Oreochromis niloticus: one gene and its partners. The main gene of each other region encodes a partner of the protein of the gene in region 2 in a complex. Links are inferred from orthologs where the notes say so. Each region holds a gene or a part of one and is shown on either strand. Other genes may lie near its edges. The genes, in order: gdf5, bone morphogenetic protein receptor type-1A and bmp2b.

Region 1 (10,221 bases), on a different chromosome or scaffold from region 2:
TGATGAAACTTTTCTGACACACAAGCTGTTGAAGAAAACACTGAGTGAAACTTTTACATGTTTCAATTCATTTTTCCTGAAATCTGCATGGCAGCTTTTTTCACTCCATCAAAGATAAAAAAGGATTTTTCTTTGCCAGATCGGCGATATTACTGCAGCCGCAACAGCAGTGCAGCTAATTAAAACCGCAGGGTATGATGTAACAGGAGCCTCTTCGTGCGCTGTAACCTGTTTTGGTAACGTGAGCCTTGAAAGTTTACCCAGAATGCACTTTTTGAAGTTTTTTCCACGGAATGATCAGAAAAAAGATCAAACATCCGGAGTATCGATGCTTGTTTCTGCTCCTTCGCGTCACAGACATTAAACGTGTCCCACGATGCAGCTGGTTATGGAGAAAGTCGTGCTGAACAAAAACAGATCTTGGCCTCAGACTGTGACACTTGGAGTTGTGTGAAATTCTTTTGGCTGTAGTTTTAAACAGATCCGAAATGTGAATTTTAGCCCAGAAAATTTCACATGGATGTGTGCGGTGCCGAATACTGGAAAAGACCGAGTTGAGTCAAAAAGGCTGTGAAGGGGTGTAACCATTCAACCCTTTACCACAGGTGGAGCTTCACCCAACTTTTGTAGATGATCTGAAGGATCCTGCAGAGAACCAGAATGATAATTACAGGAACTGTGAAATAATGTGAAGGCGACCTGAGCGAGGACTTCAGGAACACGTTGACATATTTACTGACAGTTGGAGCGGTCCCATCCTTTGGCCTGTTGGTCTGGAGCTGATGGAGTCCCAGGGTGTGATGCTCACCGACTCCAAACGCTTGCAGTTTGTTATAAAATCATGACTTATGACAGACTGTTGATATGAGCGTCAGGATAAATCCCTCGCTGTGTCTTTGACATTCGCCAGAATAAAAAGCAGCGAGGCAGCTCTTCGCCTCGGAGCAGCTCAGGCGTACTGGAAACGGTTGTTTGTCAGTTGGCTCGAATCAGACTCCATGTGCACTTGATGTCCTTGGTTTTGGCTCTGGCCTGGGATCCTCGTTGCATGTCTCAGACTCAGAAATGTCAACAACTTATCTTTCAGAATGAAATGTTCCCCGCGTCCTGCATGCCACACGAGCCAGACCTGCCAAAGGAAAACCACATTTTCTCCAAACTGTGTCCCAATCTGCTGCGCTCAACGTTTTCTGGAGTGAGACCGGTGGGTCCAGAGCAGGAATCCGAGGTCCGGGGATCAGTTTACATTTCACGCTCAAACGCACACCCACGATTCCTCCGATACAGGAAGTGCCCTCAAATATACACAGGCTATAAAAAGTGTTCACACCCCCGCAGTGTCCATCGGGTTTATTTCTGTAACACATTCAATAACAGCGGAACGCCTTCCTGAAAGTGCATTACAAGAAACAAGGAAGACTTTAAAGTAACACACGAAAGTTAAAACTTCACAAAAACATAATATGAAATGAGCCAAAATGAAAGGTGGAAACACGGTGCTACATTTTGATTAGTGCAGGAATTCCTCTCAGCGAGTGAGAGAGCTGTAGACGTGCACACGTAGAGTCCTGGTAAAAGAAAGTACACCCCGTTCATTTCTACGGTTTACATATCAGAAATGCAGACGCATGAGTGAAGTCCACTTTTACTGCTTCCACTGGGATTCAACTAACAGCCAGGCGCTGCTAATCAAATGCACTTGATTAACTGATCATCACTGAGTGTGAGCACCCCAATCAAAGCAGAAGTTTTGGCAGTTTTCCGGTCTGCAGCACTCAAGCTTGTGTTAACGAAGTGGACGTCTCAGCCAGACTGTGCAACGCTCAAGGAAGCTACAAACAACCACAAACGCTCCATCTCAGACTCTACAGGCTTCAGTTAGCATGTTAAACTTTGTAAGAGCACAATTAGATAAAGACTGAATAAGTGTGGCTTGTTTGGAAGCCCTGTGGCCTCTTCTTTCTATAAAGAGCAAGTTTGGCTGCATCCGAACGAACCGCAAGACGTCTGGAACGATGTCTTGTGGACAGGAGAGAACAAAGTGGTGGTGTTTGCCCATCGTGGACAGCAGCACAGTCGGACAAACCAAAACACAGCATATCAGCACAAACACCTCATACCAACTGTCAGCTCAGCGGCGGAGGGCTGGGGATGCAGGCTCATTTTGCAGCCATAGGACGTGGGCAGCTTGCAGTTATCGAGTCGACCGTGAACTCCTCTGTAAACCAAAGTATTCTAGAGTCAAATGTGAGGTCGTCTGTCTGGCAACTAAAGCTCAGACCAAACTGGGTCAACAACAGGACGATGATCCAGAGCGCAGAAGCAAATCTCTGACAGGAAGCTGCTGCAACGGTCAGGTCAAAGTCAGACCTCAACCCGACCGAAGTGCTGTGAGATGTGCATAAATGAATCCACACAAACCTCAATGAACTGTGAAGAAGAGTGAGCCAAAATTTTACCACAATGACATGAACGACCCATAAAGTCACACAGAAAACCATTACTGTAGCACTTTCACACACTGTTGTAATATTCATTCCATTCACTTCAATTTTATTCACTTAGCACCAAATCAGTCGCCTCATGTGCTCCACTGTGCGCCGTGAAAACACACTGGTCAGTAATTAATGACGTTCAGTTGTGATGTGGTTTTAAGGCACTGTCACCTGGAGTCAGGTGTGAATGTGCAACAGCGCAATCTGTTACCGGTCACATCCAGTCGAGCCGATCCCAACAGTATCATCCGATCACTCCTGTCCTTCTGTCATGGCCTCAGGTGGGCAGAAAAGCAGCTGAGGTCAGAGAGAATAAAGAGAGGGAAAGACAAACACAGCACCAGAACCAGAACCAGCTCCAGTTACAAACCACCAGAGACCAGCTCCACTGCCGGGAGCTCCGGGGTTGAACCCTGGCTGCTAATTATTCCTCGAGTTTGGTCAAAACTAAAGTTATGGCACCGAGCTGGAGCTGCTCGTGGCATCATAAATTAAACTGGCAAACAGTGTTAGAATCAGAACCGACCGCCTCGTCTCCCGGGAAGAGAAGGAGACCAAAACACTGTAAACATGGATGTGTGAAAACTCGAGGTTTTATAATCAGTCAAATATGAGACCCACAAGTGTGTTAACTGTAATTTAAACAGGATAATATACTAAAATTAAATAGATGTAATACATTAAAACTCTAATGCAGTACAGTCATTGATGGCTGCGTAGACTACGAGAAAAAATACACAAAGTGAGTTTAACAGTGTGCAAGAGGCAAACAGTAAAACAGAAAAACAAATACCCACAACACCAGTCAAGCTAAAAACACGACAGGTACTAACTGTGGCCAAAAACTACATATTCATTAATATTCAGGCAAAACATTTGCAGCCTGCAGGTCATATGAAATCACCTGAGGCCAATTCTTAAGATTTAGGTACAGTAACAAGTAGGGATGCAACGATACCAATTTTTTCAAACCGATCCGATACCGATACTTGGATCTGAGTACTTGCCGATACCGAGTACAAAAACCGATACTTCTGCCACACACAAGTTAAACTTAACCGGTAGTAAAGAAACGACCCCACACAACTCTTTAACACAAACGAAACGTTTACTGAACGTAAGGGCAGAGACAAATACTGTACAACACATCCCTTTTTTAAACTCAAATGATATTCCAATTCCTTAACCAAATGAAATACACTGTATAAATGAAATAATTCCCTTTCAAATTATATTAAACAACCCAACTTATGTTATCACCTTTTGGTAAGTGACTCACTAATATACACTCCAAAACACGGTATATAAATCCACTAAACATACAATATTCACACATGGGCCCCACACACACTCACATTCACACTTGTTGCAGGCCTGTTTGCTGCTCACGCCGGACGATGGAGAAAAATCCTCTTCTCCCCAGTAAGAGCACAAAAGTCTGACTTACAGTTCCGTTGCTCGGTAGGTCGCCGTTCACCAGTCCCACACTAAATCCACTCCCTGCGGACCCGATGCTGTCTCTGCTACAGCGCGTTAGCCAGTCACTGTCCAGCTCTCCGACAGTCCATAGCAGCTGCCTCCGTGGCGCAGCCAAGCAGTCCGGGCTAGCCTTTAGCCTCAGCGGTCATGGCTGAAAACACAGTTTTCCACGGACGGTGGTGCGACCGTTGAAACAAAAAGTCACTTCACCCACACTCTGTTGCGAAGCTCTCACACAGTTAGCTTTCTAGTCACACACTCTTTTGTGCAAGTTAACCTCAGTAAAACTAGCCGAGTCTCTCACTTTGGTTCAGCTAACCTCGTGCATCTCTCCATGCCGTTCTCTTCTGTGAACTGTGAACACCTTATGTGGCGTTCAAGTCCATGGGAATTATGAGTATCTACTACCAAATTCCCATCCGGGCTACATTAGTATCGGTTCATGGTATCGGTTGACTTTTACGAGTACGAGTACGCACACATTTTACAGTATCGGCACCGATACCCGATACCAGTATCGGGATCGGTGCATCCCTAGTAACAAGAATAAACTAATATACATATAAGCTACAGCGCTGCACACCAGGGGACACAACAGAAAGGCATTTCTGACATTAGCAGGGAGTTCAAATACCAGTATGCTATTAATTATTCCAGGAAAGATCACACTAGTCAGTATGCCAAAATTCCCAGGAGTGACAAAAAGGCCCATTCTGGTAAACATGACAGCCACAAAGCTCGGCACAGTGGAAGTGGACATTGTGGTGTCTCAGCAACGTCCTCGGCACGGGTTAATCCCATCCACTGTCCCATCAGTGGTTTTCCAGCCACACAGCCTGGACATCTGTTATGTTAAAGGAACTTGTTTTAAATTTCTGTACTTATAATAGCTTTAAACTTTCCAAAGTTACCGTCTGCTATGAAAAGAAGGAGAATAAATAACATTTATATCATGTTGTGAGAAGATATGAGCTGAACTTGAGTTAGAAGTCTGAAGATATTCCAGCAGTCTGTGAAAACGCTGCCTCCTGGTGGGGAAAGTTTCTAACAAAACACGGAGATGATAATTACAGTAAATGAATTACAGTCACGAAGGCCGGCTGACGACATGGTGACAGACATGTGGTCTCTTTTCTCTACCCGTAAACTCCTTCCGCTGGTTGCTGTGATGGTGCAGGGCATGCTGGGATAGGTGACACCGTTACAAGTTTTTGTGATGGTTTGCTTGCTTGTATAGTTTGTTTGTGTGGTCTATTTCCACAGTGCAGGGGGTGATGGTGGATGGAGCAGACCGTGGAGTCACCTGGTCCCAGACTTCTGAAGCTCTTCTTCCACATGACTCCACCAGCGCACAGCCTCAGTGCTCGTGGTTTTTGTTCATGTTCGTTTAAATAAATTTGATGTCATTGCTCTTCATCCCGTGTCTCACTCTTCTTTGATGGCTTCTAAACAAGTGTGAGATGCTGACAGATGACAGTAGTGACAGTGCGGTGTCCACTCAGGTGTACTGTGGCTGCTGGAAGAGAGAATAAAGGCTTTTTAAAGTAGGTTTACGTATGAGAAGCAAGTGTTTCGTGTTTTGCATCTATACCAGAGTATGCAGTGGGACAGAATGGCAGCTCACAGTGCTGAAAACATGAAAGGTGGATGTCCCAACAATGATGTCACCTATTTCAGTTTAGAAGATTGGAGTTTGGATTTTTTTTACCTTTATAGAAACTGTGAAGCATGGAATCATCCAGAGATGCTGCTGAGCGATATAAATATGTGTTAATGAGAACAAAGAGACACAAAGCACAAAAGTGCGCCTCATAATCTGTACTGCTGAAAAACACAACACAGATCAATCCGATGAGTGGAGATTTTCATTTCTGCGCTTTTTGGCTCGTTTCAGTGATGTAAACTTTTTCTTTACCCTCCTGAGTGTGAGTGTGTGTGTGTGTGTGTGTGTGGGGGGGGGGGGGTCCTTTCCGTGTTGCAGCTTCAGTGAGTCATTGGTGGAAAAGAGGGAGGAAGATTTGAGGAGAAATATCGCTGTTAAATGAGTTTGGGCAGCATGACATCACGCGGTAATTAAACCAGTTTTCTGGAATTCCGTTTCCAATTCCTGCGCTCAGGTTCGCTGGAGGAGTTTTTCGAGCACCTGCAGGTTGGTGTGTGAGTGAAATATTTTCACTGGACGGAGTTCAAACTCTGGAGAGAGAGAGAGAGAGGGAGGGAGGGCTGCGGCATTACGCCATTCTTCCCTCTGAGAGAAAAAAAAAGGGGGATTTAAAGAAGTTTCTTACAAGACTTCCAACAGAACAGTTCCGCGGAGTGTTTCTGCGCCTCTCAGCCCGGGCTTTGCGTTCTGCTGTGCCGGGCACATCTCTCCAGCACTATGCTCCTCACACATGCCGCGTGGGACAATAAAGCTGTGCGGGATTTGTTTCTTCGGCTTGTAGACGTCCGTTACAGTCTCTGCTTTCACCGCCTGGCACGTGTCTGTGCCGAGTTTCAGGCGGGGGCAGCAGCTTTCGTGCATTTCTCGTGAGGATGACCCACTCGGATTTACTGTTCTTTGCCGCTTCAGCTTCCTTGTGATCTCACTGCACTTCGCTACGATGACAGCCTGGCGGGAGGCGAACGCGCTTTAGGATGAAAGCCGTGACGCGTCTGTCTCTGCTGCTCAGCTGCTGGACTCTGGTTCACCTGCATCCCGGCCCCACGGCGCGTGTCCGCGCAGGTCCTCCGGTAATCAGAGGAGAGGCGTCCAGGACGATCAGCTCAGGGCGCACGGAGCCCGTGCGCTCCCGACTGCCCGGCGGGGATGCGTACGATAAGGCGCACGCTCCCGCTGCCATTAACGCACACGCACGAGCGGGTGGAGGAGGTGGAGGTTCATCGGGGAGAAGTTTGGGAAAAGTTGCGGCCGCGGCGGTGCGCACCTCGTCCCCGCAGAGAGCCCGCAGCGCGCCGGCTCCGGCGGCGCAGCGGGGGGCCGCGAGCCACAAACAGCCGCTCGTGACGCCGCACGACTACATGCTCGCGCTGTACTGGTCTCTCTCCAGCGGTGACGTCAACGGCAGCACGTTGCACGAGGCCGGCCTGGCCAACACCATCACGAGCTTCGTGGATAAAGGGCAAGGTAACCGCATCACCCACGAGCCTCTGTGCGTCCCGGGGAGTGCTCCCACGTTACTTTTCAGTCCCACGAAACAGAGTGACAGTGACACGCTGTTAGTGCAGGGATGGTGGCAGACACACACCCAGCTGAGCTGTGATGGGTGGGTGGGGGTCCACGCTGTGGGGGCAGCAGGACAGGTACTTGATGATGCATTTGTGCCCCTGGTACTCTGTGGGGATTAAAAAGCAGCTGGAGCAGAAGGTTAGAGGAGATCTGAGGAGCCAGAGGATGAGCAGAGGATAGGGGCTGTTAGCTGCTTTTAAAGTCTCACTTTAGAACCCACAGCAAGTTCAGACCTCACACCCACAATTCATTAACAATTAAAAAAGGGGGAGTATAAAAAGGATGCCACTGGAGCCTCAGGTCCCACAGAATGAGAGCTGCTTTAAGGGACTGGAGGCCAGTGTGGGGGGCACCAGAGGAGGGTGGTGCTGAGGGCACAGGCTGAGGATTGTCCCGTTAAAATCAGAAGGTCAGCAGTGAGTGGAGTACTATGGGAAGGAGCGTTCAACAAACTGGGGGTCAGATTCCCTTTCTGACAGCCAGTTAGCTTAGCTTAAAGAAACAGCTCCATCCAGAGCTAACAGGATGTGATTAGCCGAGAAGTTCGAGTGGACATAATTTTCTGCTATTAGTATATCTCCTCTTCCAGCAGTCACGTGATGTTTTAAATAGTGATTTCAGTCATCCAAAAGCTAAGGCTGCTCTAAACTCTCAGTTTTAGATTTTTTTTTTCTAGATTTGGATATGTGTGATGTCAGTAAGAGTAGATATCCTTATATGGTCCTCCCATCACAGAAGCCACACCCACCTGCTGTTTAATCCGTTTTTTGAGAATTGTAGCCAATCAGAAGCACTATTCTATTTTCCTTTATGACTTCCTTTATGTATGTATGTTTATGTAAAAGCTGACACTGACTCATTTAACCACCTTGTGGTACAAACTTGTATTACAGGAGAAAGACAGCTTGGCTTGAGTTAGACATAAGTTGATATCGCTTTAGCACAAACAGAGATGATGCCTTCATTTCATTTTGTTTTAAACTACTTTTAAACACAGAGATGTGAACGTGTTTGATTTGCATGAACAGAGGCCTGCAGGTGTATCACGACTACTTCCATCAAAACAAATTACAGCTTTTAATCTTTGCACATACACCTTTTTTTTAAAAAAATTAAATAGATCCCACTCTCTGGACTTCCAGATTCATGGAGGTGCTCTTCTGGGATTTTTTTGACAGAACCGGCTGAGCCAATAGATATGTTTCGTTTTCAGTTGTATTAAAGTGCTGCATAAAAAAACCTAAAGGACACGAGTGTAGATTTAATTTAGGCTGCACACATCATCGATGCTGGATTTGTGAAAACTAAAATAAAACTTGGGCTTTTTTTCTACAAACAGCTGGAAATAATTATTTAGCTCCTTTCACTCCTGTTCATTGAGGACTTTCTCACGAGCACCCTCCACTGCACACTTGAGTTTCAGCCAGTTTGGGATCGACAGGAAGTGAAATGGCTCTCTCAGATTGGCTTCAGTTTGGCTCAGGTCACCTCCGCAAATATAAAGTGGGCGGGGCTTATGGGCTTTACTGTAACCAGGCAGGAGGGGGTTACAGCTGTGATGGCAGCTATGTTTGTCTATATCTGGTACTTTAAGGTTTGGTGGGAGAAAACCAAACAGTGGGGATCAAGAGAGCGACTTTACATGTATGAAATTAGAAATGCATTCTAATAAGCATTTTTCTAAAGACCAATAACTAATTTAGTCTTGTGACAGCAGGTAGTGTAGCAGAGGAATAATTAGTGTTTGATGTCAAACTTTCAGCAGTTTTAACGTCTGGAACATGTCTGTGCACATATATGCACATATTTATGTATATTTATTCCTTTGCAGTTGTGAGTCTGTGTGTGTGTGTGTGCTGCCGTGTGTTTCTAACATCTGGTCGGCTCTCAGTGATATATACGGCCTCGTGAGGGTAAATAAACAGTGCTCACAGCCCCCCGTGTCATGTTGTCTTTACGATGTAAAACAGTTTTAGAAGCGTCTTTAAATGAGCGCAGTTTCATGTTCCTGCTGCTGCTGAAGGTTTACATTTCCACCACTTAATGTACTTTTAATGTGGCCTTTATTTGTTCAGCGAGTCGTTGCTGACTTCGTCCACATGCTGAGACGAGGAACTGATCGTTATTTACCTTCTATCCTTTCATTCACTCTTACTCTCTTCCTTTATTCTGCCTTTATTCCTCCGTTACTGCTGCCGCTCCTTCTTTCTTTCTTCCTGCCACATGCAAGGCTGAACCTACCTCCTGAGGGGCCCCAGAGCAATGTCTTGCTCTGGGCCCCCGATGATGCTGTGTGTGTGTGTGTGTGTGTGTGTGTGTGAAGCAGAGCAGCTAAAACCCTGATTAGTCGACTAAAAGTTGATCTGGCAGTGATTTTGATCATTACATTTTTTGAAGTAATTTTTCCCCTTATTAACCCACTCATTTGTTTACCTGTGTGAGGTTGTGGATCAAATGTTTGTTTTCCAATTTTTGGCAATTTGATAGTACAGCAGTGCAGTAAATAACCACTGCATGCAGGAACAGTAGTTAGCAGTGTTGTCTCACAGCTGTGTGGAGTTTGCATGTCGTCACTGTGTCTCTATGGGTTCACTCCGCTTCCTCCCACTGCCCAAAGTGTAGTTACTGGGGTTAGGTTAGTTGGTGCAAATAGTTAAATAGTCCATCTCTCTGTCTCAGCTCTGGTGACCAGCCTGGGATTAGGAGAGATTTGGACATTTTCCCCCAGAGTGGGAAATCCTCTTCACCTGGGCCGGTGCCAATATGTTAAAAAAGCTGAAGCCATGTGTGCGAGTGAGCGACACGCCATTCTCTGGGCAAAAGTAGGTTTATTAGTAGTTATATTACTTTCATAATTTAATGAGTGATGATCAGCCTGAAATGTCGAGTTTTTAATTTACAGATCACAAAACATTTGAATTTTAGAGTCTTTTTTTAAACTAAATATCTGTGTTTTAGAGCTTTATTTGAGCAGGTGACCCACATACTTTAAGGCTATTGCAGTAGTTGAATCCACCC
Region 2 (10,811 bases):
AAGGGTGGCCGTCTCAGAGACTACTTTGAGGTTGAGAAGGTTGTGTGACCTAGACCCCGTTCACAAGAGAGCTCTCTAATGCCCCCTCCCCTTTGGTTAAGATAAAAAGTCAAACTTTCAAAATAAGAGCGTGAGGACTGTCCACAATTAAACGGACGACTGTTTGTTTGAAGATGACAAACACACCTTTGCACACTTAGCTAAGAAAATGTAATCTGTGGCTGCACGGGGATACAGGGTTTAGCTGCCCTGCAAGACTCCATTAGCATTAACTGGTGTCTTCCTGTACACTGGTCTGGTCTGGTGCCATTTTATAGGTATAGATCATTTACTTATGGAACACAGGAGAAATCACCGATCCCTCGGAATGTCTTTAGGTTTAAACTGTAAACATGACTCAAAAAATAAAGATTCAGTGGTTTTATGACACAAAGAGGAGGAGGAGGAGGAGGAGGAGGAGGAGGAGAAGATGACTGTCAGTCTTATCTTTTTCAGAACCCCCCCGTTTCTCTTGTTGTGGCCTCGCTCACTCGCCTGCTGTCAGTGTTATTTCGGTTACAGTGATCTAGGCTTGGCTGAGGAATGTACAGCTGCCTGAAACACGGATAATACTAGATTTTAATTTCTAACACCCGCTCTCCGCCCTGCTGTGTGCCTCTGCTCCCTATCAGGGAGGAGGAAGAGGAGGCGGCCTGCAAAGGTAGAGGCTGTGAGAGCAACAACGACGTCAATGCTTTCTGTAGACCTTTTTAAAATACAGTAAAATATAACGCATGATTTAAGTTATTATAACAGAGTATGTGAGGCTGCAGACAGGAAAAAGGAACCTGAAGACGTCATTTGGTGGTTTTAGCCGTTTAGCTGTGGAGGTTTGGATGCATGCACGGACTGTCTGATTTCTGTTTGTTAGCATCTCAAAGCTAACTACTAAACAGACGACAGACGGACATCCAGCTTAGACACCCTTAGACTTTAAACACAACACTCTTTAAAGACTTTGGATGCAATAAACAGAATTGAGACACTGTTAAAGCTTCTAAACATGTTAAAAACCCCTACAAGGCTTCATGCACCCTTACAGATTCTAAAGCCTTTTAAAAATACTCAAACAGGCATTAAACAATATTAAGAGACTCTGTACCATTAACAGAGTTAAAGACGCAGCAAAAGACAAAACAAAGAAGAAGACCCAGAGGGTTGGCATCTACTTTCAGCAACATTTCTGAAGCTTCTTCCTCCTGATTGTCACTGAAGACCTTTTAATGACCCACATGCAGGAGGCAGATAAATGCCAGCAGCCAGGTCTCACAGGGGCAGCCAAACAGGTTTTCCTCCTCTTCTCAGCAGCCATTAAAAGACGCCGCCTAAAGCGATGCGGGTCAAAAATGTTTATCAGAGGCCCATTCGAGGCATCAGCAGTCGGCTTACAGTGAAAATAATATCTGTTATCATCCCTGCATCCATATACAGTAAGCAAACATGCAAACAACCAGGAAATCAGCACTAAACACCCCAAAACTCGTGTATTTTGTAGGTTTAAGCCTGTTTTTAAGTCACTTGGATTAAGAAAGAGCCTGCATCTGTTACTCTGTTTGGGACCTCACTTCTCTGGTTCTCTTAGCTGCTCGAGGTTGTTGTCCAATAATCAAACAAACAGACAGTCTTTAGCATGTACGAGGATCACTTAGATTCTTAAACATGTGGTCCAGAAACATCATGCAGGATTTTACTGCAACCATCCCAACACGCTGCAGTTCTCATGCCACAAACTCTTCAGGCGATTTTTACCGACTCTGTGCCTCTAAATCGTATCGTCGGCACAACACTGGTATAAAACTTTGAGTGATATTAAAGTGTCATGTTGTCATGTTTAAGTTCCCTGGTGTGTGCAACAGCAAGACAAGCCCAGACATGTCTGAGAGCGAGAGCAGCCTGTGATGATGATTTAGTACCTAAAGCAGTAGCTACTTCAACACCCTCCCAAAAGCACACACCATCGAGCAGTGCTGCATGATGCTGCAAATCAGAGGTAAACACAGGGCCAGTGTTGCAGATACCAGTACGCATATCTGTAAAGGCAAGTTAATTATAATTAATATAAGCATATATTAAGGATCCTGTCGTGCTTGGATCAATCCAGTACCTATACCAGCATTGGTATCGATATGATCGATATTTGCATTGCTCTGCACCCCTCTTTCATCGATAACACCCCGCTTCCAACAAAGAAGACACGAGCAGCCGGTGACGTGGGACCCAAATCTGGACAAATGACCATCGAGCGTCGCTAGCTGGATAGAATCACTGATGATGCCGTTACATCGGTGAAAAAGCAGCTCTTCAAAGAGCTCGACCAGCATTTAAGATCCCAGTTAGGAAATGTGACAAAATCGTGCCTGACGAGTTAGTTACCGTTAAACTCGAGTGTTAACGCCTCATCACTGGCTGTAAAGTCGCTGATTTACATTTACAGATGCTGCTGCAGAGCTGCAAGCATCACTGGTAGGATGATCCCAAATGTTCTAGAAATATCGTGACATACCTCATATCGCCCACTCCTGCTGTAAATTAAAATAATGTTTGGCATTTTCATGTCATTCGCCCACACAAGGCGGGCAGTTCGGGCTTCAGGGTTTTCCCTGCACATCTGGACTCGCTCTGCCTCCACAGCCAAAAACGCTTCAACAGTCATTGTTACATTTCAAACTAGCATCTGACACAACGACTCTGAAAACCTCACATCACTTTTCATCTTAAGGGAATTTTACGGACTCTAAAGACCATTTAGATTAAATTATTATTGTTGTGATGTTAAATCTCCTCTTTATTATTTCTGCATTGGTCATCAATGATGAAACATGACAGGGGTGTGTAAACGCTGAACATGACACAGAGGACACAGAGCATTGTTAAAGAGCTCACGCATCGTTTTTACTGAATACAACAAACAGGTCCAGGTAACTGTGCTCACTTTAAGCCGCTTACTTCTCATTCTCCTACAGCGTCGGCCTCATGTTTGAGATTTTCATATAAGCAAACACAGTGAGAGTCTGTGCTGTAAAGAAGGAGGACGTCTACTGAATCACGACACAGATGAATGTGCCTTTAACATGATTGGCTGTTCCAGTAATGGTTTCATATACAGGTGATTAAACTGTATATGCCAGATGTGGTTGGATGTTAGATCCTCCAGTTTAACAGAAACCGTGAGTTAAACCCCCCCCCCCCACACACACACACAGTGCTGGGCAGTGAGAGGTGGATGTGAATGGTAAATGGCCTGTATTTGTATAGCGCTTTACTAGTCCCTAAGGACCCCAAAGCACTTTACACAACCAGTCATCCACCCATTCACACACCCATTCACACACACATTCACACACTGGTGATGGCAAGCTGCATTGCCATCACCAGGTGTGCGGGTGTGTTTAGTTTTTTATTAGACAAAGGTGTGAATGAGATCACATTAAAGGTGCTCAGGAATCAGCTGCCTCTCCGGGAACTCTTTCATCCCGCTGTTGCACACCAGCAGCAGTTTTTTAAGTTAATTTGATATGTCTGATAAACAGATTATTGGAAAGATTACTCCCATGTCCGCGCATTTTAAAAATAGGAAATGGCCTTTGTTTAAATTTAAAGTATTTTAAATTTAAATAAGTACTTTAAGATTTTTTAAGGAGGTACATGAAAATAAAAGTGACTCTTTTATGCTACCTTATAAAACCTCTCACACTGCAAAGACATAAAAGCCGCGATAGTTAATCGATTAGTCGATCAGTGGACTGTATTGATTATGAGCTGCAGACACGTGAACGATTAAAAGCCAGAAACATGGCGGAATAAACAAGAGACAGAAGTGAGATCAAAACCATCTTAAAACACGCCGAAGCAGCCTGGAAACAGAGCTCACAGGTGGCTTTACCTGCCTGCTCAGGTGGGTCAAAAATCAGAGTTTGAAGCAGGTAAACATACAGAAACACGGCTGGTTAGCCCACGATGCTAACCAGGCTAACAACATTAAAGGTCAGCAACGAAAAGCGCCGTTAAAAAACTTTGACAACAAACTTATTTACCTGTTTTTCTTCTTCGTTTCAGCACCTTAAACCCGCTCACAGCTAACTCGCAGCTAGCAGCGCTAACAGGAATGCGGCTATCCGAGCTGGAAACAAATTCTACCGAAACAAACTTCACCAAAACCCCCCGAAAACACCCCTACACCCCAAAATAGTCCGAATCTAGGGTTTAGATAAAGCCCTTGTGAGTTTAAAGCGATAATCTGTCACTTTTTAAATCAAAAACGAGCCAAATTTCTGCTGCAGCAAATCTAAAGCCAACTTTTTTTTTTCCACGACAGCAGTTAGAGAAGGAGGGGATGCGTCTATCTGCTGGCACAGAAATAAAATCTGTACACCGATAAAATTCTCATTTCTTTAACTTACATCCACAGTTAGACACACTAAAATTATTTTATACACACCCACACACAGGCCTACTTAAAGCTGATTCACTGAAAAATAAAAATCCTAAGGGAGTGCGTGTACTCCAGTAAATAGACGGCGCTCAGAAGTCGGGCTCATACCCGCAGTCTGGACTGAAGTTTGGGATCGTTTGACTCACCTTTCTTCCTGAGTCTTTACTCTCTCCTGGATGTTTCGAACCTTTTCTCCCGCGTTATTTCATCCTGTAAGACCGGTTCGAGCTCGCTCCAGCCTCCCTCCCTCCGTTATTAGGGGAGAAATCTATATTTCCAGACGTTTTTCGTCGGCGTCCTCCGCTCCGTGCGTTCCGCTCGCCTCTGCGGGTTTGCGCTGCTTTTAGACAGAAAAGCAAATACCAGGCAGAGATCGTCTCTTGGTCTCGCGATGACTCACTGTGCATAACAAAACACTTCCGGTCGGAACGAGGGGCGTGTGGAAAATTTGCACGCGCTCACTGTTTCACCTCTCAGGTAACTTCAGAGGACCTGAGATTAAATGTGCATCATCGTCTGATTGAGGGTTTGAGGGGCCCAGGTGTGAGGCTTTCGCGTTCTTCTATTTTCACTCCCTAAAAACCCCCAATATTTTTTTCTGTTTTCTTACTTTTTCTTCTTATCTAGCATTATTTGCATCCTGTGTACCTGAATGACCTGCAAGTTAGAACATGTTTGTAGTATGAAGGATTCATTAATAAGCGCAATGTTATGCATGCAATTGAACTGAATTTCCCGGAGGAACCCACCCGATGGATTAATAAAGTTTTATCCAATCGAATCTAATCCAGTCAGTGGCGGTCCTAGCCTGTTTGGCGCCCTGGGTGAACACTCCTTCTGTGCTCTATTTGGAAGCAGCCGCCCCCCTCCCCTTTCGACGGGTTGTGTGAGACTTCAAATCATCAAGTTGTAAACTGTAAATTTTAAATTGTTATTGATCCCTTTACCCCGAGTCCTAAAGTGTATATTTATTTTTTTACTCTTAAATATTTATTGTTCGTTTACTTGCACTGCTGTAACTGGAGCCTCGTCGTCTCGTCTCTCTATATACTGGACTGTATGTAGCGGAGATGCCAATAAAGTTTACTTTGACTTCAGCACCGAGCAGGCGCACCGAGGGCTCTCGCGCTCACTTTTCGCGTATAGAATTTCAAAAAAACATTGGTGCAAATTATAAGTCTGCATCATGATGTCCGGTGTTTTCGTGTTTGTTGGTTTGTTTTTATTTTGTTTTATTTTGCGAGTTGGTTATTAGATGCTGCTCCAGCCAGCCAGAGACTCCCCCGCCGCCCCGCCCTCTCCTCCCTGTGCCGCAAGCAGCAGGCGCACCTCGCAAACGAGGGCGCCCTTGCTCCCAGCAAATGGGCGATAGAAAACCGATCAGTGCCTATGCCATCCCCAGTATGCGCTGGCATGACGTCGGGGCAGCATGAGTACGAGCATTTTTTAAAAAAAAAAAATTTTTTGCCGATGCCCGTGATGCCGCCCCCACCACGATGCCACCCCGGGCAACCGCCCGTGTCGCCCATATCAAAAACCGCTACTGAATCCAGTACTAGGAAGTGTATTATCACCCTCTCTGTACACTGTTTTTGTATATAGTAAATACTATGATTGCTCTATTCCTTGCTTTAATTCTATTTTCCTTTTTTTAGTTGCTTTGTCTGTATCTTGTAAAAAGTGTAACTTGACCTGGAGGGCTCTGTGCAATAATTCCAGCATGCATGGACCGTTGGTCCTGTGCGCAAATTGCAAATAAAAACCTTCAGTCTTGAAATACAGTTACCTGGTCCTGAGGGCTCAGCTGGGAGCGTTTTCCCTTAATTTACTGATTGTATATGGAACGAAACATTCAGGTTCAAAAGTATTATGGACAAATAAATGAGAGCCTCCGGGCAACAGCTGTTGTGATTTGGCTTATCTTAATGAACTATGACATAAATCATCACGCGGCAGCTCGTTATGACTACAAATAACTCTTTTCTTTTGGTATTTTTGGAAGCAAAGGAAACACCATCCATCCATTCGCTTCCGCTTATCCTTTTCAGGGTCGCGGGGGGCGCTGGAGCCTATCCCAGCTGTCATAGGGCGAGAGGCGGGGTACACCCTGGACAGGTCGCCAGTCTGTCGCAGGGCCAACACACAAGGACAGACAACCATTCACACTCACATTCACTCACACATTCACACCTAGTGACAATTTGGATTATCCAATTAACCTATCCCCACAAGCTGCATGTCTTTGGACGGTGGGAGGAAGCCGGAGTACCCGGAGGGAACCCACGCAAACACAGGGAGAACATGCAAACTCCACACAGAAAGACCCCGGCCTGATGGTGGAATTGAACTCAGGACCTTCTTGCTGTGCGGCAACAGTGCTAACCACCGTGCCACCATGCTGCCACCAAACACATGTTGTAAAATCTCATTTTAATTGTTCCAGTCTCAATGATTCAGCAAAATAAAAAATAAAGAAAGTATAAATGCTGAGCTTCAACATTGCAAATAATAATAATAATATACTTATATGAGGTATATGTTATACTGATTCAAATGCTAATTTAGAACAATAAATAAAATGTTATTAATTCAAAACATGGTATTTGATGATATAAATATATATTTGGGCTTCCTGTTGGTTCTAAAAGCTGAGCCACATATTTTCTTTTTCTATCTTTACAAAAACACATAAATACACGATCCTCCGAGTCAGCATCATATCTGAGGTTTTTTATACATCTGGAAAGTTGATTTAAAAATAATTTATAAACTTACTTTATATTTTTAGCCACTGGCATTCTGAGGCTTAAACAAAAATAACTGCCTAGAAAGTCAGTGATGTAGTCTAAGAGCTGTTTTTGGCGGCAGAGTGAGACCTCTTCCCCTTTTCACTCCTCTCTGAGTCCAATCTCTGCTGCTCAAAAACCCGCAGGCTTTTATTTTGAAACGCAATCAGGAGAGGGCACTAGCTCCCTCTGGTGGCTCCAAACTGAACAGCATTATCATCGCTCAACAAGAACGACGCTCGTTATCATGATGACGATGATCTGATGATGAGGATGAAGATGGTGATGATGACGATGATGTGTGGGTGTGACAGTCATGTTTTTCGGTTGGAGTTACAGAAAACTGATGACAGATAAAAATGAAAGAGGAAGTTCATAAAGGTCAAACACGAATACTCCTCTTCTCAGTACAATGACTCATTTTCTCATTTTTTATTTCGTTTTTGGTTCAAATATTCTTAAAGCTGCAGATATGAAAAATAGAGATTTTTAGGGGATAAAAATCAGATATTAAATAAGGAACCACATTTTTATTTTGTTCCTCTGAATATTTGCTGCCTCCAAACCATCAACGTGTCTTTTAGACCCCATTCCTACAAAACTGCTCAAAGAAGTCCTGCCATTAATTAATTCTTCGATCTTAAATATGATCAACCTATCTCTAATAATCGGCTATGTACCACAGGCCTTCAAGCTGGCTGTAGTTAAACCTTTACTCAAAAAGCATCTCTAGACCCAGCTGTCTTAGCTAATTATAGGCCAATCTCCAACCTTCCTTTCATATCAAACATCCTTGAAAGAGTAGTTGTCAAACAGCTAACAGATCATCTGCAGAGGAATGGCTTATTTGAAGCGTTTCAGTCAGGTTTCAGAGCTCATCACAGCACAGAAACAGCTTTAGTGAAGGTTACAAATGATCTTCTTATGGCCTCTGACAGTGGACTCATCTCTGTGCTTGTCCTGCTAGACCTCAGTGCAGCGTTCGATACTGTTGACCATAATATCCTATTAGAGCGATTAGAACATGCTGTAGGTATTACAGGTACTGCACTGCAGTGGTTTGTATCATATCTATCTAATAGACTCCAATTTGTGCATGTAAATGGAGAGTCTTCTTCACATTTCAAGTTCACATTCCATTTGCGCAACATCTCTAAAATTAGAAATATCCTGTCCCAGAGTGACACTGAAAAACTAGTTCATGCATTTATTACTTCCAGGCTGGACTACTGCAATTCATTATTATCGGGAAGTCCCAAAAACTCCCTTAAAAGCCTTCAGTTAACCCAAAATGCAAGCCCTCATAGTAAGTACCATCTCACCCTATTAGAGCACTTCGCTCTCACACTGCAGGCTTACTTGTTGTTCCTAGAGAACAGAGATTGACAGACCACATGACTTTCGCGCATTGCATTCTGGGTACCCGTGGCAACAAAATCAAAACACTGCATCAAGCGCTAGCATTTCCAGCACCAGTAATCATTAATTCTGCAGTTTTAATCCCTACTTGCATTTTATTTGCCCCAAAAACAGTTATGTACAAAACGACGGAGAACACGGCAGGTCCGTACAAAGACAGAGTTGACGAAAAGGCAAAAAAAAAAAAAAAAAAAAAAGTACGAGGAAAAAATCAAAGGAGTGAAAGGGTCAGACCCGTACGAGCGTACAGAGCGGAGTAAGGACGTTAGCGTGCTGCCCAACTTCCATCACGCACATATTTATTACTATATGGTCCTAAGTGTGAGTGCAGACACTCACAAGCTGTTTATTAACTTCAGATCCCTGCAACAAGCCCAGGTCCAGTTTACTTTGGTGATTTGGACTATTCCATTTCACAGCTGTTGTTACATTCTTTTCCTTTATCTCCTGTACAGGCAAACGCATCTATTTGTCGTTTCACAACATTTTCAGATCTAATAGAAATAACATGAGTGTTTCGTAATTCATTCAATTTATTGTCTTTATTTATAACTGGCATTCTCCAAAAGTTGAATCTGTTCATCTGGACGTAGCGTTTTGTGGGAGAAACGTTTCGTCTGAGACTGAAGAAGTCACTTGGATGAGTGACCAAACGTTTCTCCCACAAAACGCTACGTCCAGATGAACAGATTCAACTTTTGGAGATTTACTTTCCTGGATGATTGAGAATGCATCAAGACGATATAACTGGCATTATTGTTTCATTCTATTATAGAATCTTACAAGAAAGAAGCAAAATTGTATTCGATTATGCTTTATTAGCTGCTTCGGTGAAAAACAACAATGCAAAACAACATACTGGAAAACAGTTATTCATCACTTGATTGCTTCAATACAACCCTTGGGCACATATATGCGGGACGTTTCGTGGCTGTTTTGATGTCGCTCTCTCTCTTAACCGATCAAATCTGGCTGTGGTAGCAGCTTTAAACTCTGTCTGACCCAGGCTGATAGAGGCGCCCAGTCTGCATCGCATTCCAGCATTTTGTAGGCTGGTTTTCCTACAAAACACAACAAACATTAGCCCGCAAAGCCACAGTGAACAAAGCAGCATAGCGCAACGAATTCAATTCAAATCAATATAAGACTTATTTGTAACCTACATCAACAATTATGTTATGATAAATTACGTAATAACTACAACAGAAGACGTACCTTTGTGGAAATGCTTGGAGCAGACTAACATGTGAGCTGGAGTGTTCTGGGACGTTATATTTGGTCTTCGAATGGCTGCAATCCAGGCCATCCGTCGGCTCTTTGTTACTTCGGAAACATGGCTTGAACAATTTTTCTTCCACGACGTAATCCGATAAAAACGATTTCTTTACCCGTCGGCTTCCCGTGGCTGTCATGCGACCGGCTATTGCATTTAATAATACAACAGCTTCTTGCCATTTTGTGTTTGTTTTTATCGCTGTGTGACTGTTTTCATGTGAAAGCCTGCGTGCGCTAGTATGGCTTGCCACTCGTTCCCACAATCCTTTGCGGTTTTACCCCTGAATGACGTCACATTTTCAATCTCTATTTCAAAGTAGAATGGGAGGCAGAGCCTTCAGTTTTCAGGCCCCTCTTCTGTGGAACCAGCTTCCAGTTTGGATTCGGGAGACAGACACTATCTCTACTTTCAAGATTAGGCTTCAAACTTTCCTTTTTGCTAAAGCATATAGTTAGGGATGCACCGATCCCGATACTGGTATCGGGTATCGGGGCCGATACTGTAAAATGTGTGCGTACTCGTACTCGTAAAAGTTAACCGATACCATGAACCGATACTTATGTAGCCCGGATGGGAATTTGGGAGTAGATAATCATAATTCCCATGGACTTGAACGCCACATAAGGTGTTCACAGTTCACAGAAGAGAACGGCATGGAGAGATGCACGAGGTTAGCTGAACCAAAGTGAGAGACTCGGCTAGTTTTACTGAGGTTAACTTGCACAAAAGAGTGTGTGACTAGAAAGCTAACCGTGTGAGAGCTTCGCAACAGAGTGTGGGTGAAGTGACTTTTTGTTTCAACGGTCGCACCACCGTCCGTGGAAAACTGTGTTTCCAGCTACGACCGCCGAGGCTAAAG
Region 3 (10,409 bases), on a different chromosome or scaffold from region 2:
AGATGCATGTTCCTTATTCCTCATCATGTATGGATACTAAGTGTTCCTTCCTTCTTTGGCCTGTAAACAGCTGCTTGTGCTTAAGCGGTAAAATGTAAATCTTGACGCTGGCTGTTTACGTAGCCCAAGCTTCTAATCATGCAGACATATAATTGAGTGACGCGTGGTGTCTTTATGAGTGGAGCTGCATTCAAAGGGCAGATCCCTGTATTTATGTCTTTCTGCCTCTCTCTTTAAAATCAAAGTAGCTGCAGTGCAGCTATACCAACTAGTTAACTAGCTAAATGTATTTAAAATGTTTATGTGATTCTTAATGTAAATTGTCACAGTGTGAGGTCAGTACAGAGCTAAATGTTTTACACTGCTGATACTGATTTTACAGCAGCAGTTTACCAGGCACGAAAAAGGACACTGCATGAAATTCAAAAGATGCATCTAATAACAAAATACATTATTTTTTAGACTTATGGTGGAGGATTTGAGTGTAAAAGTCTTTTTTTATTGTTGTTTTTTGACAAAAGCCAGCCCAAAGTGATTTCACAATACAATAATTATAATATCTAAAATAGCAACAACTTCTGTGGATGAAGGAGCAACCACGATTCGCTGATCAAAACTTCCTTGCACCCTATTTACACAGGAAATTAAATCACAAACAAATAAACACTCTGCCAATTTGCTAAATTACGCACAGCTTCTTGTGTGCGACCAACCTCAGCGTACTTCTCAATATTTGAACCATGCGAGCAAGGTTTGGACCCTCTCTTGTGATCTCTGAGAGGTCGTATAATCTGGAGGTGGACTTGTTGCTCAAATTAGTGGGTAGAGAAGCGTGCCACATGTTCAGTATCCATAAATATTGACTCTGGCTTTCTAGCTGGCCGTCTCTGACCTTGGTGGGTTTCCATTTTGGGACAAACCTATTTGAAATGTGTCCCATTTTGCCACAATCTCTTTCATGCACCATGTGCACGTGCTTAGCGTAGTGCAGCAGTCGTGCTTCTGCTGTCAAACACGTGGACTGATGAAGATATTACTGGTTTCTAAATTAAAAAGACGCCACTGCCTTGCAGTTGAATTAGGGATGAGTCACAACAACAAATTGTTTCCTGGTTTCAAACAACATCTCTGAAGATTATCTCCCTGGGGACACACATACAGTCTGTTAAAACTACATCTGGCTACATCAAGGCAGAGGAATGCAGGCCCTGTGTCTAGCCAAGCTACTGTTAACAGCAGGTGAAAGGCTAATAGTTAGATCTGCAGTGTCATCTCGGGGCTTTGTCTGCCCCCTTACTTGTGGAATGTGCGTGATGACAAGAGAAGGCTGCGCCGTCCACATCCACCATAACATGTGCAGACAGACACATCCATGGGACAACAAATGAGCATGTAAAGCACCGTACTGAGGACAATAAGCCATGTCTTCTTCTGATTTTTTTGACAGGATCTATGTGTTAAAACACCACTATCCTCATCTCTCTCAAATAACCTCAAACATTTCCCCTTCAATACATTCATTATGCTTTCTTTAAAAGTGCCATGTATTGTTCTGCCATAAGGGAGTTTCCATAAAAAAGATACATCTATTAGATGAAGCAAAAGTACATGGTGGTGGTTTACTGTATATTATGTTTTTGGTTAGAAAAGAAGATTTCCCCCCAAAGCTGAATGATGAATGGAGCATAACAATAAGAAATATGACTTTTAAATGATTACATAATGTATCATTTGTACATGTGTGGGTCTGAGTGTTTTATAACGCAAACCTGAACCTGCTATTTTTTCCAGTCTAACCTGAATTTTAGCTTTATGTTGCCTTCCGTTTGTCAAAGAAAGGCAGTAAATTTTCATATAGAATTTTGGGAAAAACAACTCTTAACTCAAAGAACGAAAAGATGTCACAAAGCAGGAACAAAGCGGTGATTGTGCGACAGTGTTTGTGAGTCTGGGAATTTTCAGTTGTGTTGATTCTAAGCACAGACTTAAGGCCTCAGGGGTCGGATCAGAGACTGGTCATATTAGTCCTCACGACTGGGACAAAAGGATTTCCAAGACCACCAGTTTAATCTGATAACAACAGTCTATAGCTAAATTGTTGTTATGAGGATGGACAGATGCTCCACAGCACTGTTTTTGACCTACCTGTAGGTCATTGCAGACTTAAAAAAAAAAATCAGGGAAATTTTGGTTGTGTCAGCTTGAAATTGTGTTTAATTGCTTTGTACCTGCAGACGCTAGAAATGTTAATTTCTAAAAAACCTTTTTTAACCTTGTTAACATGCCAATGTGATTGTTTTTATATGCTAGAAGGCACACCAGGGCACACCAGAGAGTGAGACAAAGACTGCAGTGTTGCAATGACAGGTTTTAAAGCATGGATTTAGAAAGCCAGGTTTCATGCATAACAAACCTAAAGCGACGACTTTACTCTGCTGTGGACATGGGCAGCTGGAGACACTGTGGACATGTAGTCATTGCTGTTGTACTTCTGCGAAGCCCATTGAAGTCCACCTTGCAATTACAGTTTACATAATACAAAGTTTCCAAAGATGAGTCCACAGTCACAAAAATGTACATCACTTAGACCCAAATCAACCCTCATGGACACAGATGTGCTAACACCCACATTAGGAACCAATCCCTCCAACTTACAGGCTGGGGACTAATAGAAGTGGCAACCTTATCTTTAATAACAGAATATGATTTGATAATGTAATCAGGTCCAACATACATAACGTCTATATAGGAGAGACTGTTTCATTTAGTTTAATTTTACAGCTAAAAGATTGCTATTAACTAATAACTGTCAATTGATTTTTTTTTCTGACTTTTTCTGACTGTTGACCTGCTGAACAGCACCTTCTCTTTATTCTGGACCTCCTGATTTACAGTTTAAGCAGCAGGTTTTCCTCAACTGCTTAACAACTGGACCTATGTTTTCCTTCATTTTGCAGGAGAACTTATGAGTGAAGCTCACAGATCCAGTGGAAAGAGGATGAGGGAGCAGGCATGGACCAATATTGATATGCATATTAAATTAGGGAAAGCCCTTTTTTGCATAAGGGTTTATATTCATTTAAAAAAAACTGCTTCTGAACATTTAATTGTGGTGAATCTACGTGAGTTCTTTTAATAAATAATATTATTTAATAAACTTTAATAAATGTCTGGAGAGGGACTTTTCCAAGATTTTACGTATTTTAAAGAAATAAAACATATATATTATGAAAGCATGGGGCTGAAGCTAAACATACATGTGGGAAACTCTGTACAGCTCACAGGCTTGTTTTTCCTTTTACTATAAGCAGCGGGACCAGCACAGCAGTGCATTTAGGTCTTTAAAACAGCAGAGAGCCATTTGAGCACATGTTGACCTTGAATTTGATTCCATAACTTTGAAAGAATATTTACTACAATCACAAATAAACAGATACTTGTTAGAAGAAATAAGCATGCCATTAGTGGTGGTTGTTGAGTTAATAGTGTCTGGCTAAGTCAAAGTTTAAGGCTCTCAGAGACTCTCTCAGTAGGTCGTTCATTTGAGTTTGAGATAGCATATCTCTACCCGCCCTCTCTGGCCATGAGGGTTTCATTCTGTGATGTTGTTCTTTCAATCAGCATGTAATTGGATCAGCAGCGATATGATAAGCAATGACATATACAGTGTCAGAGCCACAAGATCTTCTCAAACCACCCTGGGCATCACTGATCAAGTCCCTCAACAGCCTTGGCTTGGCACATTCCTCAGAACTGGCCTGACATAAGCTGAGCCAAAGGAAACACACTCACACAATTTATGCATGTCCATGCCTTCAAAACACACACAAACGTTGACATGATCATTTAGTGAAACCACAAAAATGCCTACAAAAAGAAAAAGACGGACAAATAATCAGATAAGGCCCTCTGTTTCTAATCCTGTCACTCGAGTAATTAAAGATGCTCACAGCTTGCTGTGGGAGGACTTATCCTGCAATCTACAGCAGCCTGAATGCAGCTTTTACCTGGATTTGGGTTTAGAGCACTAGGTTTACCAAGTGGTATTTTGGCAACAACAGAGACTCAATTGCCAGCAGATTAACATAACAATGGAGAAAATCTTTATGAATAAATGACCTGTAGTAGAACTAAAGTCCATGAAAAAGACTGCATCACAATCTGTCACCATTTGCTGATTCTGATGAATAAATACATTACCAAAACAATAATAAGATCCAAATAAGCTAAGTAGATTTCAAAGAAGCTAATTAGATTCAGCACCTTAAAAAAGTTAAACTCTGAAGTGCCTGGATGCAGCAAGGAAATGGAAAGGAAACACTGTAACTCAGACAGCAGCACACACTCATTGGCCTTACCATGTTTTAATTGCTAAGTGGATGATCCAGGATTATCCCTGATAAAATATTACTGTCCTAAAGGAAGACAAATATCTTGTGATCGCTGTGGGATTTAATCTCTCGCTATCTTGCGAAGAAGTCAGTATGCTTTGGCCCAAACACAGCCACCATTATCACCTAATGGATAAGAGCAGAGGAACTCAGTGGGGGCTGTTTTTTTTATGGAGATCACATAAACACCAATGCTACTGACTACAACCCCTCAGGCTAAAAACAAAGCAGCAAAATTTCCCTCACCCATCTGTGCTTTCAACGGCTACACAAAAGAACCAAGTACTTTTCCTAGAAAAGCCAAATCAACTGGTGCGCTAACATGCTTCGCTTAACCGGTCATCCTTTTTAAGATGCAATTTTGTGTGAACTCTAAATTATAAACTTAGTGAAAACATTACTGCCTTCTTGGGGAATTTTTCTTACAAGATTTTATCACTTGGCTCGTCTGCAGTACTGAAGAATAAGACAGCAATTCTTGCAGCCAAAGCTGCCACAGATATATTGATAAAGCGCTGCGAACTGGAAAGAAATGAAAAAGCCTAATGCAGCCAGCGGGGAGCGCGTGTACAAGTCACACATGCACAAACATTCACACAAAGTGAAGTTCAGCAGGAGAATGTGACAGTCACTTTGCAGCATCTAATCCTCTGAAACCACTAAAGCAACAAGTTATAAACCCATTATCTGTTAGACTTAATCCAAAAACTAAACATTTTTGATCCAGCCATTAACACCACTGGTCAAAAATGTGTCTATGTAACAGCAGGAGCTGACATGTTATTGCTCAGGGGTGGTCAAATTCACATGAGTATTAAACCATCTAGGGACTGTCAAAAGCCATTTTGATGCTACTAAAAAACATTTAAAAAGAACAATCTGGAAAAACAACAGCATGGTTTTAACTGCTCTTGACTTTATTATTTCTTCTGTCTCTTGTTTCGTTTTCATTTCAATGATGTATAATGAGCGTAGGTAGGGGAAAAAAAGGAGAGTTACATGTCCAAGCCTTTCAGTCATGAAAACGTTTGGAGCCTCAGGGGTAGAGGTCCGCAGGAGGTGCTTTATTGTGGACAAATGATTGACATCCCCTTGGTGACATCACTACGACAAAAAGAGCGCTGGGGGAAGAGAAGGCAACAATCAATTCAAACACTCCAGTGCGGCGCACAGAAGAGAGGCGACGCGCTCTCCAACTCGCAGCAAGAAGGTCCAAAAGAGCGACACTTTAAGGTCCGCTTATCGTGTTTCTCTCTCTCTCTCTCGCGGAAAAGTTCAGTTTTAGCAGAAGATAACTGTTCGCTGGTAAAGATGTTCAGAGAAGCTTCTTTATACTTAGATCGGTTATGCCTACGCGAAGCCGTTTCCTCGTAGAATTCACATAATTTTTTTTCCTTTCGGGACTGACCAAGACCTAACCCGATTCGCAGCTGGTGATAATATGTGTGAGAGGCGATCGGCGAAGGCTATGGGCTGTCTTTGGTCCCCCAAGGAGAAGCAACGTGGATTAAACACGAATTAATGTGGAATTTATCGGAGCCCAAAGGTGGAACGACGACCGGACACAGCGCTTTCTCGTCAGGTAAAATAAAAACTCACGGTTTTTTGATAAACGCTTAAAGTACTTAATTGGCGTAAATAAAAAAAAATGAAATGTTTGTACAATAACTTGCTACACGAGGAAAAGCTTACTTTCTAAGTGACCCCCCCCCTCCCTGCTAGTTCTTGGTTTATATGTGATTATAGGGTGTGTGCGTAAAAGTTAAAGCGTTCTCCTACACACGGAGAAAACTATGAAAAGAAGAAGAGGGGAAAAGGGTTGTTTCTTTGGAAGTCGTGCTGCTCAGATGATGCTTAGGTTTTTCATGTTTTTTTATGTCCTGTCCCGGGCTACATCTGGTACGCACGTCAGATCTAACACCTGCGAGCCTCTTGAAGTAACTCTATCCCTTATGATTACACACGACCGTCAAAGCCCCTGCAAACAGACGCTTGTAACACCGTCTGGTTGCATCTGTTGCTGCTGTGCATACTAACCCGTTTCCCTTCACTGTATTCTTTGATGCTTCTTGTGATCTGTCGGGCTACACAGACTTGCATTTCTTTTTTTCATACCACCTCCCGTAACGTGATTTCTTATCTCCTCTAATTGGAGACTTTTTGTCTGATCTCTATCCACAAATCCTTTGATTGTTTTTTCTGAGTCAGTCCCTCGTTTTTTTGTTCTTCTCTTTCAGAGCTTCCTCACCTTGATATTTTCATGTATCACTTCATGTTAAGACCAAACTTCTCTTTCAGCTTTGACGCGCTATATTGCCGGTGGGGGTCTCGCTCTCTCGCTCTCTCTCTCTCTTTTTACCCACTTCAAAGTGAAGCGTTGTCTTCCCTTTTAACCTGATTTCCTTCAATCGTTCCGACTGTGTAGGGGGATCACACACAGTTTAGGGAATGCTGCAGTGAGGTCCCTGCCGCGTCTACCTCATGTCAATACCTCAGCGCCAGTGTATTGACAGAAACCAACTTTCTCCACAGGGACTGACTGATCATGGTCGCCGTGGTCCGCTCTCTCATGGTACTGCTGCTCGCTCAGGTGTTGCTGGAAGGTGCTACGGGACTTATCCCCGAGGTCGGCCGGAGGAAATACAGCGAATCCGGGAAGCAGACCCCAGAGCAGTCAGAGAGCTTCCTCAACGACTTTGAGCTTCGGCTTCTCAATGTGTTTGGACTGGGGCGCAGGCCGACCCCGAGTAAGCAAGCCGTGGTGCCGCAGTATATGGTGGACCTTTACCGTATGCATTCAGCAAACGGAGACCATAGCACCAAACGACCCAAGAGCATGGGGAAACACGCAGAGAGAGCCGCCAGCAAGGCCAACACGATTAGAAGCTTTCACCATGAAGGTATGTATTAGTGACATACCTTTACCTGTCAGCCGGGAAGCTTCTCGGCTCTCTCAGACAACCCAAACCTATATTTAAACATGACTCAGTGCGTCAAGACTGAACTTCAGAGTCTTCGCTGTTTTATAGAGGTTTAGTCATTTACAGGTGACACGCGTCTAAGTTACAACTTACTTTTAAAAACGCTCGGGATTGCCTAAAACTCAGTAACGCGACTTACAAACAAGCATCTCGTACGCAATTAATTACCTCCCACAAATGTTGTGATGCAACATTTAACCGAACATCCCCCTGGGGCTGCTGTCAGAGGCTTTAAAACATCAAGAGGCGGTGGTATCCCTGGAGTAATTTGTTTCTTAATAATTGATGGTGTTTGCGTGGGCTCCGAAAACAGTTTTTCCAGACACGCACCACAGGAGCAGGATAAAGGGCGGTGTGCCTTTGCGCAGGTGATAGTCATCACCCTGTTACTTCAATAACACACGACATGACATTATACTAACACGCATTATGACAAAGTCATCGTGTCAGACTGAATTCTGAGTCATTTTTAACAAGGCTGAAATTAGTTTTTGGTTAAAAAAAAGGGGGGGGGGTACCCGCCTTATTCGTCTTTCCAAATCCCCGTTGAGCCCGTGCAGTGCGCCATTACGCATGTTCCAATAACACTATAATTGCTCACTTAGTTTGTACGGTGGATACGGTGCTGCTTGTTGAATTTGATGTTTCAGTTCAACTCCGTTGCACTTCAAAGATAACATATGCTGCTCATATATATAAGACTGGCACTAAAAGCCTCATACATCCTGGATAAGGTGCACTAAGTTCAACAACTACACAGATGTTCGCACAGTGTTACAAATAAAGTGGACTTTTATAACTTAAAAAAAAACAGCAGCTGAGAAAATAAAAATGATGGTTTACTTATATTCTATTGATCCGAGGCTATATTGTCTTTTGCACCTGGCTGTGATATTAAAATGACTCACGCATGATAAAAAGGAAACACTGCAGTGTTTACTGTCAAACATATAGTGATGCTTTATCACCATTCACCATCTTAGGGTCTATGTTCCATTTGTCAAAGCATACAAGTGACTGTGTCCATAGGGGCTCTACACAGAGTCCTCATACAGAGTTCTAAGTGTTTGACTGGGGAAGTTTCCATCAGGGGTGAGTCAGAGGGGTGGTTGAGTGGTTGCTTGGGTGCTCTCCAGAGGCCTAGTGCAATGACACCAAGTGGCTACACCGACACACTACAAACAACCCTGGCCTGGGCAGCCGGGCTGAGTGACTGCCCCCAGCCAGCTACTGGAAACCTCTGCCACCGGCCAACACACCTTGACACCACTGGCCATTACGAATGCGCTCAGGCTGTGTTTACATACGTCCCCCCAGCCCTTTCATCCCGTGCTAACAGAGCTGCTGGGCTGTTCGTCTTCCCACGTCAGGAGACACGCAATTGATGGCTGCTCCATATAATAAGCATGTATCTACAGATGTAAACGCAACACATCAAAGCAAACTGCTCTAATCATTCATCACATCTGCTGCCTGATATTCATTTCACTAGGATAATTAGTTTCACTGCTATCAGTTTTCAAAAATAACCATTTCCCATGCCAAATAGAACATTTCCACTACTACACAGGAAGTGGCTGCCAGAGACACGTCTCTGATGAATGACCCAACATTAGCCTTTATCTTATGTTTTGGCATGCAGCACAAAAAGAAATTAGGAATGTTGATACACTCATATCTGTGGTTCACACGTTTGTGACAGGCCCTGACTTGTTCACATAGCCAAACCTCAAAGAACAGAAAACGAGAGAGAGTGAGAATATTGTTGTAGAAAGAAATTGAGGAAGACGTGAAAGAGGAGGAGAGAGAAAGAAAAGAGGATTTGGGGCTAAGAGAACAGAGGGAAAGGGGGATTTGGGAGCTGAGGAACGAAAGAAAGAGAGGGATTGGGGACAGAGGAGGGGGAACAAGAGACAGGGGGCTTTCCCACATCAAATAAGGAGTGATGGGCCTAATTGAGGTCTTTGTGCCTCTGGAGGGAGATTTAGGATGAGATGGTGGAATTTCCTAAATGCCTCCTTTGAAAAAGCAAAGAGTTCAAAGTTTGTGTTTACGGCGCTGCACCAAACAGATTAAAAAGTGTGTCTATACATCATCTGTGATCTTCATAAAGTAAGAGTTCAAAGTGGGAGGGCTGCCTCAAAGAAAATTGTAGCTTTTACTAAGACTTCTGTCATTTACCGTACACTATAGAGGGGTATACAAAGATCTTAACTGTATACAGTTTATATATACTCTACTTTCCATTTGTCTTTTATTATCGTCACATTAATTGTAACTTAAGTCCTTGTAATTTCAGAATTAGTTATTAAATGTAATACCTTGACGCATAAAAGAAGTATTCCAGTGCTGGCAAAATCTACACTATAAATAAATGTTGATGCAACAGTTGGCCTTTCTAGTTTTCTTCTGGCCATTCTCATTTTCGATGAAGTCAGTATATGGTGCAACTTTTTTCATGTGTACTTATGAAAATATTTGCAGCAGCCAATTCTCACAGTGCAAATGAGCCATTTGAAGTCTGGCTGACTAGCGTGTTTGATCTTATCGATGGATGGAAGCGCACTGCTTTCATCTTCTGACATTTAACCAGGTGAATTTATGAGCATGACACTAATCGCTGTATTACATCCCCATGAGCATTTCCCTGCTATTACACTGAGTCATACATGCAAAGCACGAATATATGATGTATACCTGCTATGCAACCGCATGCAATCACTCACATAACCACGTGGTAGCTTGGCTGGATCCATATACTAGATCCGCTCGATGTTATTTCTTAGTCTTGTATGAAATGGGTAAATTCTTGGCTTGATCCTTACACTATGGTTGTCTCTCTCCTGTCCTTTACAGAGTCTATGGAGGCCCTGGCCAGCCTAAAAGGCAAAACGACACAGCAGTTCTACTTTAATCTCACTTCTATTCCAAATGAGGAACTCATCACCTCTGCAGAGCTACGCATTTACAGGGATCAGGTCATGGGATCTGCAAGCCCCACCGAAAGCAGCATTAGTGACAGTACTCCTGCTAGTGG

What was found.
Region 1: the proteins of bone morphogenetic protein receptor type-1A (region 2) and gdf5 are in contact, whole or in part, in a crystal structure (PDB 3QB4), measured with the Homo sapiens proteins. The link is inferred for Oreochromis niloticus from reciprocal best matches to the Homo sapiens genes BMPR1A and GDF5. Residues at the interface, in NP_001393490.1 of Homo sapiens: Gly65, His66, Cys67, Pro68, Ile77, Thr78, Phe83, Ile85, Glu87, Cys100, Met101, Lys102, Glu104, Gly105, Phe108, Gln109, Asp112, Ser113, Lys115, Ala116, Gln117, Arg120, Ile122; in NP_000548.2 of Homo sapiens: Arg399, Phe435, Pro436, Leu437, Ser439, His440, Glu442, Pro443, Asn445, Val448, Ile449, Leu452, Ser455, Met456, Pro458.
Region 3: the proteins of bone morphogenetic protein receptor type-1A (region 2) and bmp2b are in contact, whole or in part, in a crystal structure (PDB 2QJ9), measured with the Homo sapiens proteins. The link is inferred for Oreochromis niloticus from reciprocal best matches to the Homo sapiens genes BMPR1A and BMP2. Residues at the interface, in NP_001393490.1 of Homo sapiens: His66, Cys67, Pro68, Asp69, Ile77, Thr78, Asn79, Phe83, Ile85, Cys100, Met101, Lys102, Glu104, Gly105, Phe108, Gln109, Asp112, Arg120, Ile122; in NP_001191.1 of Homo sapiens: Lys297, Pro330, Phe331, Pro332, Leu333, Ala334, Asp335, His336, Ser339, Asn341, Ile344, Val345, Leu348, Asn350, Ser351, Val352, Asn353, Ser354.

The regions. Positions count from the first base shown.
Region 1 is NC_031970.2:3,000,897-3,011,117, forward strand, and holds the start of gdf5 (growth/differentiation factor 5), read left to right. Parts: upstream 1-5,958; 5' UTR 5,959-6,611; coding exon 6,612-7,101; intron 7,102-10,221. UniProt on the Homo sapiens protein: Growth factor involved in bone and cartilage formation. During cartilage development regulates differentiation of chondrogenic tissue through two pathways.
Region 2 is NC_031978.2:120,226-131,036, reverse strand, and holds the start of bone morphogenetic protein receptor type-1A, read right to left. Parts: upstream 4,856-10,811; 5' UTR 4,618-4,855; intron 1-4,617. UniProt on the Homo sapiens protein: On ligand binding, forms a receptor complex consisting of two type II and two type I transmembrane serine/threonine kinases.
Region 3 is NC_031980.2:4,166,305-4,176,713, reverse strand, and holds the start of bmp2b (bone morphogenetic protein 2b), read left to right. Parts: upstream 1-5,419; 5' UTR 5,420-5,624; exon of another isoform or gene 5,625-5,973; intron 5,974-6,923; 5' UTR 6,924-6,936; coding exon 6,937-7,291; intron 7,292-10,228; coding exon 10,229-10,409. UniProt on the Homo sapiens protein: Growth factor of the TGF-beta superfamily that plays essential roles in many developmental processes, including cardiogenesis, neurogenesis, and osteogenesis. Induces cartilage and bone formation.